2 linked regions of the Neodiprion lecontei genome follow. The protein of the gene in region 1 purifies or fractionates together with the protein of each later gene. This does not show direct contact. Links are inferred from orthologs where the notes say so. Each region holds a gene or a part of one and is shown in the gene's direction. Other genes may lie near its edges.

The links.
Region 2: the proteins of 26S proteasome complex subunit SEM1 (region 1) and ubiquitin-protein ligase E3C purify together in Homo sapiens (affinity purification with western blotting; 3 studies listed by BioGRID and IntAct, with this or other methods). This does not show direct contact. The link is inferred for Neodiprion lecontei from reciprocal best matches to the Homo sapiens genes SEM1 and UBE3C.

What each region holds. Positions count from the first base shown.
Region 1 is NC_060260.1:4,674,900-4,681,890, reverse strand, and holds 26S proteasome complex subunit SEM1, read left to right. Parts: upstream 1-3,931; 5' UTR 3,932-4,010; coding exon 4,011-4,092; intron 4,093-4,174; coding exon 4,175-4,271; intron 4,272-4,484; coding exon 4,485-4,539; 3' UTR 4,540-4,600; downstream 4,601-6,991. Other genes in the region: probable pyruvate dehydrogenase E1 component subunit alpha, mitochondrial, read right to left, coding at 141-326, 425-673, 835-1,083, 1,182-1,400, 1,593-1,826, 2,611-2,628, 2,820-2,870; uncharacterized protein LOC107226332, read right to left, coding at 5,026-5,331, 5,421-5,584, 5,715-5,868, 5,947-6,285, 6,366-6,582, 6,707-6,991. UniProt on the Homo sapiens protein: Component of the 26S proteasome, a multiprotein complex involved in the ATP-dependent degradation of ubiquitinated proteins.
Region 2 is NC_060260.1:41,303,273-41,311,811, forward strand, and holds the start of ubiquitin-protein ligase E3C, read left to right. Parts: upstream 1-3,610; 5' UTR 3,611-3,686; intron 3,687-4,097; 5' UTR 4,098-4,180; coding exon 4,181-4,596; intron 4,597-5,124; coding exon 5,125-5,663; intron 5,664-5,835; coding exon 5,836-7,880; intron 7,881-8,208; coding exon 8,209-8,376; 3' UTR 8,377-8,539. UniProt on the Homo sapiens protein: E3 ubiquitin-protein ligase that specifically catalyzes 'Lys-29'- and 'Lys-48'-linked polyubiquitin chains.

The sequences.
Region 1 (6,991 bases):
TTTCAGTATTCCGTTTAAAACAAATGTAATTCTTTTAATCTGGCATGTAGTAGTTGTCGATTTTCTATTTCACTTACTACTAAATTATTACAGCCACATGTCAATCTCACGACCAGCGTCTGATTGAATCATAATTTCCTCTAAAGATTAATGGCGGGACCCAGCCTACCATGAGGTAGTGGATTGAAAGGGGTTACATTGCGCACTTCTTTTTCAAGAGGTGCAGAGTAGATATCTGTGGTCAATTCACTCATAGGGATTTCTTTGTCTGTCTTAGCAATCTTCACCGCATCATCAACTTCTTTTCTGACCTCAGCTTCAAGTTTCTTTAAACACAGTGAGAGGTTCAGATTAATTTGTATTTAAATAATATCGCTTTGCTTTAGCTATTAGTCAATGATAGATCATGTGTTTGAATGTTTACCTTGAGTTCATCAGCTGCAACTAAGTTCGAGTTGAGAATCCTTTCTTTAAAGCTGGTAATAGGGTCACGAGTCTGACGAACCTCTTGAATTTCTTCCCTAGTACGATAGCTTGTGCCTGGATCTGACATACTGTGACCGCTGTAACGATAAGTAGCTGTTTCGAGGACAATTGGTCCTTTTCCACTGGTGCAGTGATCAATGGCATAACGAGTAGCCTCTCGCACGGCTAAAACGTCCATTCCATCGACCTGTTCAGGTAATACATATTTGTATGAAATTATATTGTCAAGACAAAATTGAATTATCAACTATTCGAAAAGTCTGGTGAATATTAATGAGTGTAAAATAATTCACCAAGTATTATATATAAATTTTTGACTTGTACGATATTGAATTATCTTTGCTTTACCCAGATTCCGGGAACATAGTCTCCTCTTGTGTAATAGTCCGTACTGGCAGCTGCTCGGTCTGCGCTGGTTCCCATACCATAACCATTATTTTCGCAAACAAAGATGCAGGGAATATCCCACAGCTTGGCAATATTGTAAGCCTCGAATATCTGACCTTGATTTGCAGCGCCATCACCATACAAAGCTAAACATACTCCACCGGTGTTTTGATATTTGGCAGCAAAGGCTACGCCTACACCCAGCGGCACCTAGTGAGTAGAATTTTAAGAATTCTCAGTTATCCAAAAATTCATAATGTTATATAGCTACTCATTTCATTAACGTAGCTCAGTCATCTTTGGCTTACCTGGGCACCAACAATACCATTGCCTCCGTAAAAATTCTTGGCATACATGTGCATGGAACCACCTTTACCGCGTGCATTCCCGCTTTGACGCCCTGTAAGTTCAGCTAGTACACCTAACGGGGAAACACCCATAAGATAAGTCCATCCGTGAACACGATACGCTGTTATTACGGAATCCTGAGGACGTAGGACGGCAGTCATCCCAACTGCACATGCTTCCTAGGAACACCAAAATCAAGAGTAAGTTAAAGCTTTTTGTGATACACATTTCATGTGAAATTTTTAAATTCAAGGATGAAATTACTTGGAGATCGAAAATATGGACATTTTTAAATTGTACAAAATTGTGCAAGTTTGGATCGATTATTTATTAACAAATTTTACACAAAGTTAGCTGGGAGTTTGTCATACCTGTCCGGAGTAAAGATGACAAAAACCCCTTATAATTTTTTCTTTGTAAAGGTTGCCAGCCGCTGTTTCAATACGACGGATGGTGTGCAATTGCTTGTAGTACTTGAGAGCATCCTCTTTTGTTACTGACACCTGCGTGGATGGGCCTGAATCTAATTTATGTAAACGGAATGGCTTTGTTTCGAAAGATGCCTCCGTCGCGTAGTTATTCTTGTTTAATAAGAAAGACACAGCCTGCAACAAAAAAAAAAAAAATTCAATTATAGCAAACTGTTTATTATACATACCGTCAGGTATTTCATTTAATATCAATTTTTGTGTTATGCTGAAGAAAAGGAAGGTAGTCAAATGGATCTCCGGGACAATGTTTCGATAACTGTGATTATTACGTAGCACATTATATTTGAAACTGAATAATTTCGTTGTAGACAGAATTTTGCATGTGCAGAGGAAATATTTTTTGCTGCGTAATCAAAGTTGTTGAAATGGCTAAGCTTTAGTTCCTGTGTACAAGTATTATAATTTGCTAAATTTAATGAGATGAGTGATTGAATTATTCAAAGAGCAAAGTGCAATTAAGGTCTTTTGAGCGTGGTGTCACGTGACCAATTTTTGAATTGATTTGGAATTTCTCGTACGTAATATTATGGTGCTATTGTCGGTAAATACTCTGGGGTCAGCTGGCGCTGAATAACTTTTGTACAGATGTTTTATCTATTTATATCACCGCAAAACATGCTTTGAGGTTATAATTCGCAGATTATTCGATTAATTATTAATACGATAATTTATCTGTGCTAACTGACCAGAGCGCATTTCCCAGCATGAACAAGGTCATATCATAAAAATATTCCAAATCGAATCAATGTTTTACGAAAGAACAAGATTGATTTTCGTACAAACTCTTACGATTAAATCGATCACGTGACACCACGCTCAAAAAACCTTACAATTAACATTTTGGAATATTAGCTGAAGCATAGACAACGAAAACTAAATTTGTTACTGGGATATTTACCTTGCTCCAGCTTCCATACTTGCCCATGAATGAGATGTAAAAATGAAGGATTATTCAAGGCATTAATCGAAAAATTACAGGAAAGGCAAAACAGCGAGTGAAAATAATTGAAATTCTATACTTTTCAAATCATAGGAAAAAGTAAGGGATTTTTTCTAAGGTCATTCACATGTTCAGCAACAGTTCGAATTTTTTTCAGAATAACTCACATTTCTTTTCGACGTTTGACTGCCAATGCTCCTAATGCAGTTGGGAATCATTTTAGAGGTAGAATGCCGTGTCAGGTAATTGAAATTTTTTTAAAATTACGTTTAATTATATTTCCCAGCTGGCAAATGAGAGGAACACGGATATTACAAGCTACGCGACAGCGGACATTTAGAGGAGAACGACCGTGCGCCGTGGACCAACGATTGGCAGCCCGATATGTTAGCCGAAATTTTGCACGATTGGTATGACTGGAGTTCGATTCTCGAACCGTGCGAATACATAATAATCTCCCAAGCAATTGAAAATCGCTGTACGAACTGGTACGAATCGCGTCCGCGTCGCTTGAGAAATCTCAAATTTCGTCGAATTTGAGCATTAGTTTTTAGCCTATCGCCAAACGAATAACACCAATTTGTAAATACGGGAGTTGTGATCACACGCTTTTATTTATCAAGTGTTACATTGCGTATAGACGTAATTATTGCTTTATCAATCCATGTGTAGATCGTGTCTTGTTTTTCGACGAGAAAACATGTGATTTTCGTGATTCGAAAAAATCGTTGTACTGGTTTTTATCGTCTTCGAATAAACTCTGAATATCAGTGACTCAGTGCGGTTTGATCTAATTGGAACGGTCTACGATGTGAGTTTGCCGGTGTATGGTTGTAAAAAATAGCTTATTAGTGTCGAAGAAATTATTACAATGTGCATAACAGGAGTGTATAGTGAAACAAATACTGATATGTGTTCAACCGTGGATCCACACAATGGGTACAGTTCAATGCAGCTACGAATTCGACAAAAGGTAAGTCTTGCATGCGATTTGTATTTTTCGTAATGTTTCCCCAGGTTGTATACTGACTACAATTTTAAGCTTAATTATAATCAGCCTGCTAGTGCTAGTTTCTGTCACTACAATAGCGAAAATTATTATCATGGAAAAAAATCTCCGGTACATTTTGTTTATAGTCTAGAATTATCTTTCAAATTATATGTTCCAATTCTGAACGCGCTATTTGCGATTGACCTTGAAACATACTTCGCGGCGTTACAAACAAGCTAGACAATATGATTCTACATACCTATGTACGCCTTCTCGAAACGTAATATACTTCGTGGTAATAATAATAACAACGTGCAAGGCTCACGACGTCGGCGTCACATTGAAATCAGGGTGAAATAAAGTGATAATGACCGACAAGAACGATAAATCGAAAGTTGATTTGGGACTTCTTGAGGAAGACGATGAATTCGAAGAATTTCCTGCCGAAGGTAAGTTTCCTTTATTTTATCTTATCCCGATATTCTTTGCTTCTCTTCACCCTCTAACCTCAAATTTGCTGAATCACGGAAGATTGGACTGCCAAAGATGAAGACAATGCCGATATTAGCGTGTGGGAGGATAACTGGGATGACGATGACGTCGAAGATGATTTTAGCCAACAATTAAGGTAAGACTTTGACTCTTATTTGTCTAACATAAAATGTTAAAGAATTGCCTCGGACTCTTCGTAGTTTTCATGTCTCAAGTCTATCTGTGTTATTTGAAAAGTTTGATGTACTGTCTTTGCTACCTTCATTATTAGTGGTATCAAACTACCCGTTTCTTAACTCGCTTCAACCAAGAAAACGACCATAATTAATTTACCATATCGTTATTGCAGAGCTCAATTGGAAAAGCAGAAAGTACAGGGTGACCCTTCGGGAAAGGAAAATTGAGTTCAAAACGAAGTGTGGATGTATGTTAATTGTTAAGTAATAAACTGCTATATGTATTTCATACGTATCATTTTAATTTCTTAAGAGATAAGTTCCAATTACAGCACATGTAACGAATGCAAAAAGTTCTACTCAGTTTCTTTCATGTACGAATATTTGTTTAAAAATTTTCACAGTCACTGAGATAAAATCTAATAAATATCATTGTTTGATAGACAATTTTTTTTTATACATACTTTTCATTCAATTGAAAAATCTGTACAATTAATAACAAAACTTCACTGGGATTTGGCTAAACATCCTTAGCTAGTACACCAGTGTAAATACAAATAGAATCTATTTTTGTCACATTTTACCCGTTTTTTTTTTCCATTTTAGAAGCAAATATCAATACATGCAGGTGTGGGTATTAGATTTAAAATAATTGCAGCAGAGAATGTTTACTTTGTCTTGAAAATAAATTTAGGACAACTTTTTAGTTCACTTTCAGTACGCTGATACACCTTGATTGGTTGATCTGGACGTAGCTAATAATTGTGAAGCTAAAACGTCCAATAATTGTAAACACAAATCTCGATTAATTTTCTTATTATCCAAAGACCTCATGAGAAATTTAAATGCTTCGCTTGTTTCATTGTCCCCTAAGAATATCTTTATGTGAGGTGGGATTGCTGACATTAATTGTTGTAGTAATTCATCCTGCAGTATATCTAATCCTTTAGTATTTTCGTTACCAGAGCTGGCAAATATGTCCAGATTATCCAAGTGTTTAAAAGATTTGAGAATCGAATTCTGGAACAAAAGTAGACGGATTTTACAGTCAAATCTGATGCCACTTAGCGTAAATGTTAATTAACAATCTGATTTGTCAATAACATTACTTTTAACGTGGTCTCAGCAATATTTCCAAAGAACAATTTGACAGTTCTAACAACAGCTTCTTGTTCTATAACGTTGTCACATCCGGATCCACCCAAAACTTCAGAAGCCAAGTCGACAACTAGTTGCGTTAAAGTTATCTTACTGTCCAGCTCATCAAGTTCTTCTGCAAAAATTAAAATATTATTATTGAAGTTATAGCTGCATTCAATTTAGAACTTCTCAAAGTAGTTACTGCTAATTGATGGAAATTAGATCTGTTCATCGCGTACAATGTTGGAGGTAGGATTACTGACCGTCGTATGGTGTGTTAAAAATTTCCCACCAATGAGCCAGCAGCTCTGAGTCACCGCTACCTTCGACCGATTCGACTGCTTCGTAAGCCGTGTCCACAGAACAGTAGTCCATTCTTTCCGCGACCAATTGCTGCAATTCTCGAGCTAAATTCTGCTGATTTTATAATAAAAGTTATTGGCAGTAGTGGAAATATATTATTGGATAGAACTTTGGAAGACACTTGAAACTCACAGATTTTAAGTCCTCAACAAACCGCCACGGAACATCAGCCAGTGACATTAATGTCGGCATCGGCATCACTTCTATTTCTGTATCCATTTCAAAACCAGGCACAACAGTTTTCAAAGTATTGAATACTCCGCTTACGGTTTTAGCCAAAAATCTATCTAGGCGTGGTGCCACTGTGTCCGCTTTTTTATTACTGCTGCTGCTTGGCCTCAAAAAGTGACGTAATTGTGGTGGATAATCGGCAGCTAAACGAGAGCAAACTAGTTTTAAATAATTTTCCATCTCCACACGTCCGCCTTCTGGTAAAGTTATGTTTGATATTGCAACCGCCAATGATGGAACCTGAAGTTAGATATTTGAATGCTTTTTACGTCTGTGTTTCAGCGATTATTAAGCATGGTTGTATGTCAGTTGATAATTACTTCTGCTAGACTAGCGTGAAGTTGTACAAAATCTGAGTACTGCCTCTTAACGGTGGCTGTAGTAGTTTCAAATAAGTGTGATCCATGCTGTTCTATGTCGTCAAACTGTATGCAGTACAGGAGCTGCTGAGAGCCATCGGGTGCCGTATGAAACTCTGTCCAAGGAATAGTTAAGTGGCTGCCTTCGTAAACTGTGCAAGACTTTTCCTCCAATTGTCTGCAATTAAATTTAGTAGAAGCTTCGGGATTATTTTTTTATTAGCTTCCAAATTAAGATTTTGCATGAACCTGGAGAAGCGGCCAGGTCTGAATTAAACTGGTTGAAAAAAATACACATTTACAATGGTGTTGAGGCGTTGGATTTTTGGTGCAAAAGACTTCGCAGTCTGGCGATAGTCGTTGCAAAATCAGTTGGTTCTTCATAAACCGGAGACAATCTGTCTTCCTCTGGTTCAGAATCAGGTTCAGATATTTCAACATTAGCCCACAATCCTCTGTGACTTATTTCTAAGCCCTCCAAACTCAGAGCAGCTTTCCTTTCCATTGTGCTTTGTGCATTCTGATTGTTATCTTTGAAATCTGGTGAAATATCAGCACCTTGACCAGCTTTAGGTAAGGGACGCGAT
Region 2 (8,539 bases), about 37 Mb from region 1:
TATTCAAATCGATTCTTAACAATTTTGCGCACAGGTGGGATTTCTTTAATTATTTTTTTCCTAATCCTGAGGATATTTCCTATCTGAGACCACCGTCAATAGGCGAGATTCCGGAAATCATAAAATTACCTTTTTTTCTAATTAAAAAGAAAATCACATAAGGCCACTAAGAACTCGAAATGAAAATCTGACAAAATTAGAGATGTTTTTTTATATTCTAAGCCATTAACGTAAATAATCCGTTTAACGACCATCCTAATAGATATACATTGTATATGGGGCATTCCGCGTCAAATTTGCAACCCATGTACCTCACCCTCTTCGATTTTGATAATTCTTTAGTATGATGTTACAACCACGGTTTCAATCGACTTGAAACAGTGTCGGAATTTTTTGCAGATTTCTTTAGCCACCACTGAAAGAGAAAAAAAAATGAAAAACCAATTCCGGAAACGCTTCTTTTAAAATTCTGAAAAAATTCACACTGATTTTATAATTAAAAATATGATTTGTAAGCATGACAGGACAACGTGATCTCAACATTCACTACTTTTCTAGCAAGCATTTTTTTCTCATGCCGGAATTGGAGTTTCTATTTATTTGTTCGGTCATAAATTTCTCTATTATTAATGGATATCAATTTTTCTGAAATTTAGAGGAATGCCAGAAGGCCTGAATACAGTTCATACCATTTCATTCTTTTTTTTTAAGTTATCCAAAGATCCAAGAAAACCAAAAACTTGCTAGAAAAGTAGTAGATGTTGAGATCACGTTGTCCTGTCATGCTTACAAATCATATTTTTAATTATAAAATCAGTGTGAATTTTTTCAGAATTTTAAAAGAAGCGTTTCCGGAATTGGTTTTTCATTTTTTTTTCTCTTTCAGTGGTGGCTAAAGAAATCTGCAAAAAATTCCGACACTGTTTCAAGTCGATTGAAACCGTGGTTGTAACATCATACTAAAGAATTATCAAAATCGAAGAGGGTGAGGTACATGGGTTGCAAATTTGACGCGGAATGCCCCATATACAATGTATATCTATTAGGATGGTCGTTAAACGGATTATTTACGTTAATGGCTTAGAATATAAAAAAACATCTCTAATTTTGTCAGATTTTCATTTCGAGTTCTTAGTGGCCTTATGTGATTTTCTTTTTAATTAGAAAAAAAGGTAATTTTATGATTTCCGGAATCTCGCCTATTGACGGTGGTCTCAGATAGGAAATATCCTCAGGATTAGGAAAAAAATAATTAAAGAAATCCCACCTGTGCGCAAAATTGTTAAGAATCGATTTGAATACCAAAAAATTAAGGAAATTTGGAAATTGAGGAAAATGTTTTCCCAAAAAAAAAAAAGAAAAAATGATCGAAAATGTGTACTATATTCTTGGGCACTAGAATGGAATTCCCCACACATCTTCTTCCTATACAATCAAAAATAAAAACGTCTGACAATTCAAGGAAAATTAAATAAAGTATAAAATACGACTACAGGTCCTTCCCTTTTTTTCTCTTCTTAATCTATAAAGTAAATAGACGATCGTCAAACCTGCCGGTTTTTCCATACATGTAAAATAATTATGTAATTCACTTACCATCTTGCTACCTCGAGAGCTGCTGGCACTAAACTGAACACTGTGAAGCCTCTTAACTGGCTGCGAATATCAGAAAAGGAGAGGGGTCCATACATTGTTGCTACTGAAATAATTTTGTCGTTCCGATCTCGCATCTCTCAAACTTCTTAAGAAATGCTCGTCAAGACTGATATAAAATGGGCGTTTTTTTTTTAATAAGGAAAAGTTTTGACAGTAATGGAAAATAGAGATTACTAAAAACAAATGTATTGTTTTTTAATAACACCGGCCCAATTAAATTTTAAAAGGCTTATGGTTGAATAAACTTCAGATTTGGGTTTAGCGGACCAAAATGCATAAAAATCATACTTGGTCTATAGTTCCATAAATTTTTTTCTTACCAAAAATGCTAATTTTTGGCGATTTTTATGGTTTTTTTTGCAATTTACTCAAAATTTTGAGGGTGTACGGGCAAAACTGACTTCAGATTCGGATTCAGCGCGTCAAAATACATAAAGATAGGTAGGTCCGGTCAAAAGTACAGGCCACTTTTTTTCTGTGGGCCGGTGTTATTAAAAAACAATACATTTGCGTTTAGTAATCTCTATTTTCCATTACTGTCAAAACTTTTCCATATCAAAAAAGAGGCGCCAAAAACGCGGAACAAATCGATTCGCTCTCGGAATTTTATTGTTTCAATTATTTGTTCTCTTCCGGGTTACCCCCACTACAAAAAAGGTGGGTTCAGTAAAAAAAAAAGCAAAAGGAAAGAAGGAAAAAATCGACCGGCTCTCGAAATTTTCTTTCTTTGATTTGTTTTTTCTCTCCGAAAATACAAAAAAAAAAGCCGGGATTGAATTTAAAAATAAAAAAAAAAAAAGAGTGAACTGCGATCGAACCCGTGTCCCGCATCACTCCATCCTCATGTTTTTTTTTTTTTTTTGAGGAGGAAACCATATTTATTTAGATGAACAATAAATGCTCAATATTTACAATATTGCACTTGTAATTATCTTAGTTTATGTAACTCCGGCTTAAATTTTAAGCTCGATCTAACATTTTGTTTTACATTAAGTGGTTAACTTATTTTTTAGTGTTTTGTTTAAGACTTGAATGCAGTATTATAGCAAAGGCAGTAGTAATTAACTTAAATACAGGAAAACTTCGCGCAAAAACCTGTGATTGAAAATTCATCCTCATGTGGTATCCACTCAGCCACACCACAGCTACGTCCGTGATCGCGCGTTTGCTCGGTATGTTTATGGAGCTTGCTTGGAATTCGCTGATGGTTCTCTGGAAGATTCAGTTCGAGAAAAAAAAAATTTCCTCCAACCACTTGCCCATTGCACATTTTGCATAAATGTTATCGAGCTGGCTTCGTATATTTTTCCATAGACAGCGCGTACAAATATTCGAGAACACCAGGCGTCACATATTTTCATATCAATAAAAAAATAATATTTATTAAAAAAAAAAAAAAAAAAAACGTATTCGGGCTGGGAATGGTTAATTATTTTGGTTCAGCGTCCGCTAATTGAATCCAAAATTTATCAAATCTGGAGATACTTTTATTCGCTGACATTCAAAATTGAAACAAAAAAATCCCAATTCTTGCATTCCTGGAAAGATTTGTGCGAGCGGGGACAAGGATGCGATTGGCAACCGCTTGCTCGAGCGACCGAGTATATCTATATATGCACGATTGTGGGCCACCTTCGGTGCATGGCCGCCTAGGTGTCAGGTCGGAAATGGGCCACCTTCGGTGCGTGGCCGCCTAGGTGTCACGTCGACGCTCCAACCTAGCTGGTATCACGAAAAGCCGAGCGTTGGAGATCTCCCTACTCATCTCTGGTGCAACCAGTGGAAAACGCTATAAGCCCAACACTCGTCGGATCTTTGCGATATCAGCGCCTTCAGCGTCAGCTAGCGCAAGCCTTATTGTACGGATTTTTCATCCCGGATCAAGTGTACGAAGATCGGACTCCTTTACTCTAGACTCCATGCTAGTGATATTATTCATCAATTCAATATGGCGTGTATTCAATGACTAACGTGTAATCGTAACATTATTGTAATATTATAATTTATTTCGAGTGATTTTTAGTGATAAAGTGAGTAATGGTGGTGAAACATTCTCCTTCGATTTCGTAATTGTTAAAGACAAGCATAATTTATTGACGTTGCGTGGTTACGCAGTGTGGCAATAATCAATTAATACGGGCATAACCTTGCTATAAAGAGCCGAATTTGCAGAGAAAAGTAATCGAGTAATTTTATACTTAGTGAACAGATAATTTTTCACAATAGATATTTTCGCGAAGGTGAAACTGGACTAAATTTGAACAGTTCAAAATACCACGACTGTAATACTGCAAAGGATATAATTTAGTCAGTTAGGATTCTGCTGGTTGCTGAAAAAAAATTCATGCCCAACCAATCATAATGAACCAATGCATCGAATGCTTCTAAATCTCATTTATCATTATTCACTATTGTCAATATGTTTCTATCTGTGAATTCAGGCCGATTGGGGAGTCTTCATTGTTGAATTTCAAGTGACTCACAAAAGAACGGACGTGTAATTTTTTTTGATTGAAGTAACGTCATGTATAGCTTTGACGGAGACTACAGACGAAAACCCCAACAAAATCTAGCTGGTGCTAGCCGTCGTGATGAAAAAGCTGTGCTACTGCAGCATGCTCAATTGGAACGTTTAAAACGAGAACAACAGCGTCAAAGGCATGACGCCGCTGTGAAAATCCAAGCTCAGATTCGTCAATTTGTAACTAGACAATTAAAGCGTGAGCATGAAAGGCACAACTTTGATGTAGCGCAGAAGGCATTGGGTAATAATCCGCCAAGCTTGGAAGAGATTTCCCCTTTGCTCAGACAATTGTTATTTTTCTATGACGAAGCTCTAGATGGATCCAGATTGCTATGGATACTTAGACACGTCTTGAAAGATCACAAACGTATAAAAGAACTGACAACCATATCTACAGAGTGGTCATGGAGATTACGGTATGTTTATGAAATAAAGTGTACTATTTCTCTAATTAATTCAAAAGCAGAAAACCAGTTGAGTAGGGCGTAACCGGCAAGCGTTTTCGTTTTGAAGCTGATTGAGGGTCATTGGGGTTGAAATTTTTTTCTAAATACTATTGTCCCTTTATGGCTACAAGCAATTTCTCAATTTGAATGCAACTACGAAGACCAATTTGCCAGGAGGGTGTAACGACTTTAGCGATCTGAGTTTTTATAAAATCAATATTGCATCCTTGTGATGTTTTAGTCAGCATATTGAGGTGAATAAAGAATCGAAAAAAATCAGAGGGAAGAGAATACTTTAATTTTTGTAATTTTTGTAGTCACCTTCTTTAGCACCAATACGTGAAAAATGCATGTGAGATATGTCGTTTCCATAAAGTGATTTAAAGTTTCTGCTTTGTTTGCCCTGTCTGCTGTTAAATTGGTCTTTTTTTTGAGTGCTAAGCACTTTTGTTTTATAGAGTTTGAAATAATACCATCAGCTTTTTGTCCATTTTTAAGGTGGATTCTCAAATTATCAATGCGGAAAATAGTTGACACGGTTTCTCAAGATCCTGCTCGTTCTATAGCAGTTCCTCTGCGAGTCCTGGAAGTGTTCACTGTGAAAGAAAATACAGAGGGCATTTTAAAGACAGAAACAGATCGCCATTTGATCGGCATATTTGTATATTTGGCAGAAAACAAGTACTTTGTGCAATTGAGAAGGTTGATAGATGAAAAAGTGCCTCCTTTGTTGGAAGCAACGCCTGTACCACCGACACCGATGGCGGCATGTCTATTGGATATGATTAAACGACCGCTTGGACTTATTCATACCATGGAAGAGAATAACAAATTTTCCATTACGATACTTGAAGAGTTCTGCTACAGCATTCTTGCGCCAAGAATGTCAGAGCCAATTAAGATGCTTGTCTTACCTGCATTGACAGAATTTCAAAATCTCCCGTATAAACAATTAATCGATTGTATAAATAGACTTGCAAATGAGCCTACTCTGTGCCTTTTGTATAGCATATTATCTCTGGAACCAGTCAGATTTGGTAAGTGATAAACAGTTTGGAGAATTACAATAATTATAATATTCAGATTGACAGTGACAATTATGAACACTAATGCAAATGTACATTTGATATTTTATATGTTTGAAATGTTGTCCATACCTTGGTGTATATTGCATTGCTAATGTCTCTGTCTTCATCTTTGCACCCACAGCCTGCAGAAGGTCAAGGAACACTCTGACGAACTACCTTCAAGTTTTGGCATCGCTGAGTTCGACAATAGCCTCCCCACCTGTAGAGCAGAGTTTAAATTTCACCGACGAATCGGACAGTGACACAGACACTGATATGGTCGATCAGGATGAAGCGGACATACGTCAAAAATGCATAGAAATGTTGAATGCAGAAAATCGTGTACAAGGTATTCTTGTGGTGGTGGATCAAAGCGAGGATCCCCTTATGCTCCAAGCCCTATGTCAATTGTGCCACAATCTTTTGATAACCAACAAAATGGCTGTTCCTAAATATAAACTACTCTACATGCTTGCGTTCAAACCGTCGTTTCTTCGTCATTTATGGACGGCACTAATGTCTGTTCGTCAGACATCCCTGTTTGGGGGTGTCACTCTTCTACTGCAAGTAGTTTCTCGAGGTATCGCCCTAGATGCAGATAATACAAAAAAGATTGTACCACTTTTGGCAGTTTTTTGCTCGCTCTTCAGCCTGCTTATTGCAACGCTGCACGACACTGAATTCTTCAATGATGGCTCCCAAGTTGGAACAAGTGGTGCTAGCCAACAGACAATGCCATTCACGACTGTGGAACTAGTGCCACTTTCTGCTCATTTGAAGGGGGTTTGCTTGGGCTTGGTCGAGCTCGCGTTCCCCGATACCCGGCCGACAGTACGAGATGATTATAAAACTGCAGTACTTGGTGCCTCTGCTACCCAAACTCACCAAAACACACAAATGTGGGTGCACTTGTTCAAAGTAACTGTAGGTTTGCTGCGGCAACTTCACACTCGTGATCTGAGAAAACAATTTTGCCCTGAAGGCCATTGGATAGCGTCGAACATTGTGATACCACTGGACAAACCACAGGATTTTACATTCCGACGTCGCAGATTAAGAGGCTATGTACCATTTCAAGGACTGCGAGCATTTACTCGTGAAGATTTGGAGGAAGGCCCTCCTTGGTCGACAAAGGAAGTGCGAACGCTTACGCTGCTTCGTGAAATACCCTTTGTTGTGCCATTCAATGATCGTGTAGTGGTATTTCAATCTCTCTTGAATCACGACAAAGAGGAACAGCAAGGCGAATGGACGAATTTCATGCGGGGTCCATACATACAGATTGCTGTGAGACGGAATTACTTGTACGAGGATGCGTTTGACAAACTTTCACCAGAGAACGAGTCTGAGTTGAGGCTGAAAATGAAGGTTCAATTGGTGAACGCAGCTGGTCTTGAAGAGGCTGGTGTAGATGGGGGTGGACTATTCCGAGAGTTTCTTTCAGAATTGTTAAAAACCAGCTTTGATCCAAATCGCGGATTTTTCAGGCTGACCAAAGACAACATGTTGTATCCGAATCCAACGGTGCACCTTCTTGTTGATGATTTTCCAAAACACTACTACTTCATTGGTCGTATATTGGGAAAGGCACTGTACGAGAATTTGTTAGTTGAATTGCCGTTTGCCGAATTTTTTTTATCAAAAATTGTCGGCAGGCAAGCCGATGTTGACGTTCATCACTTGGCTTCCCTCGATCCAATAATGTACAGGAATCTCTTGTATCTGAAAAGTTACCAAGGCGATGTTACCGAACTGGGGTTAGACTTTACAGTTTTATCTGACGAACTTGGGGAGAGGCGCATTGACGAGCTCAAGCCTGGAGGAGCGAACGTCACAGTAACTTCGCACAATCGGATAGAATACATCCATTTAATGGCTGACTACAAATTAAACAAACAGATAAGAGCCCAGTGCTATGCATTCAAGCAGGGCATAAGTAATGTCGTATCCCTCGACTGGCTTCAAATGTTCAATAATAAAGAACTACAGGTCTTAATCTCCGGTGCACAAATACCTGTCGATGTACGCGACTTGAAACTACATACAAACTATACCGGAGGCTATACCCCCGATCACCCTACAATAATTTCCTTTTGGAAAATTGCTGACGAATTCACGGACCAACAGAGAAGTCAACTGCTCAAATTTGTGACAAGTTGCAGTCGACCACCGCTGCTTGGATTCAAGGTATGATGAAACGAGAAAGAAACTAAACGATACTGATACTAAATAAAGTGACTGTAGTGGCGTAGCGTGCATGACTGTGAAATGGGAGGGTCTGAGTTCAAATCATTAGCCTGTCGAGGAAGACCTGAGCGGCGACTCGCAGTAATTTTACCACGGGTCCCACCGTTCAGGCGCTGAACCGGCTACCTGAGGTTTGAACTCGGGTTAACTACACCCGGATAAGATTTTTTGCGGTTTACCTTGTCCCTCGTACAAACCCTGGTGTTTCTACATAGAGCTCCTCAAATCTGTTCCAACCGCATAATGATGGTCATTTCGTTGTTTTCAGGAACTTGATCCACCTTTCTGCATTCAACACGCAGGTAGCGTCGATCGGCTTCCGACTTCGAGCACCTGCATGAACCTTTTAAAACTTCCGGAATTTCCTGACGAAAGAACACTAAGGGAAAAGCTTCTATACGCTATACAAGCAGGTGCAGGTTTTGAGCTTAGCTAAATATCTAAACTCCACGACAAGAGGCACAATTGCCATTCTTGTTTTCAATGTGATAAACTTATTCCTTGTGAAATTGGGTGAACGAACAATTCGTACTAACAGTGGATATACCATGAACAAGTTCTTTACGATATATGCCACGATTGATGTACCTGTATGTACG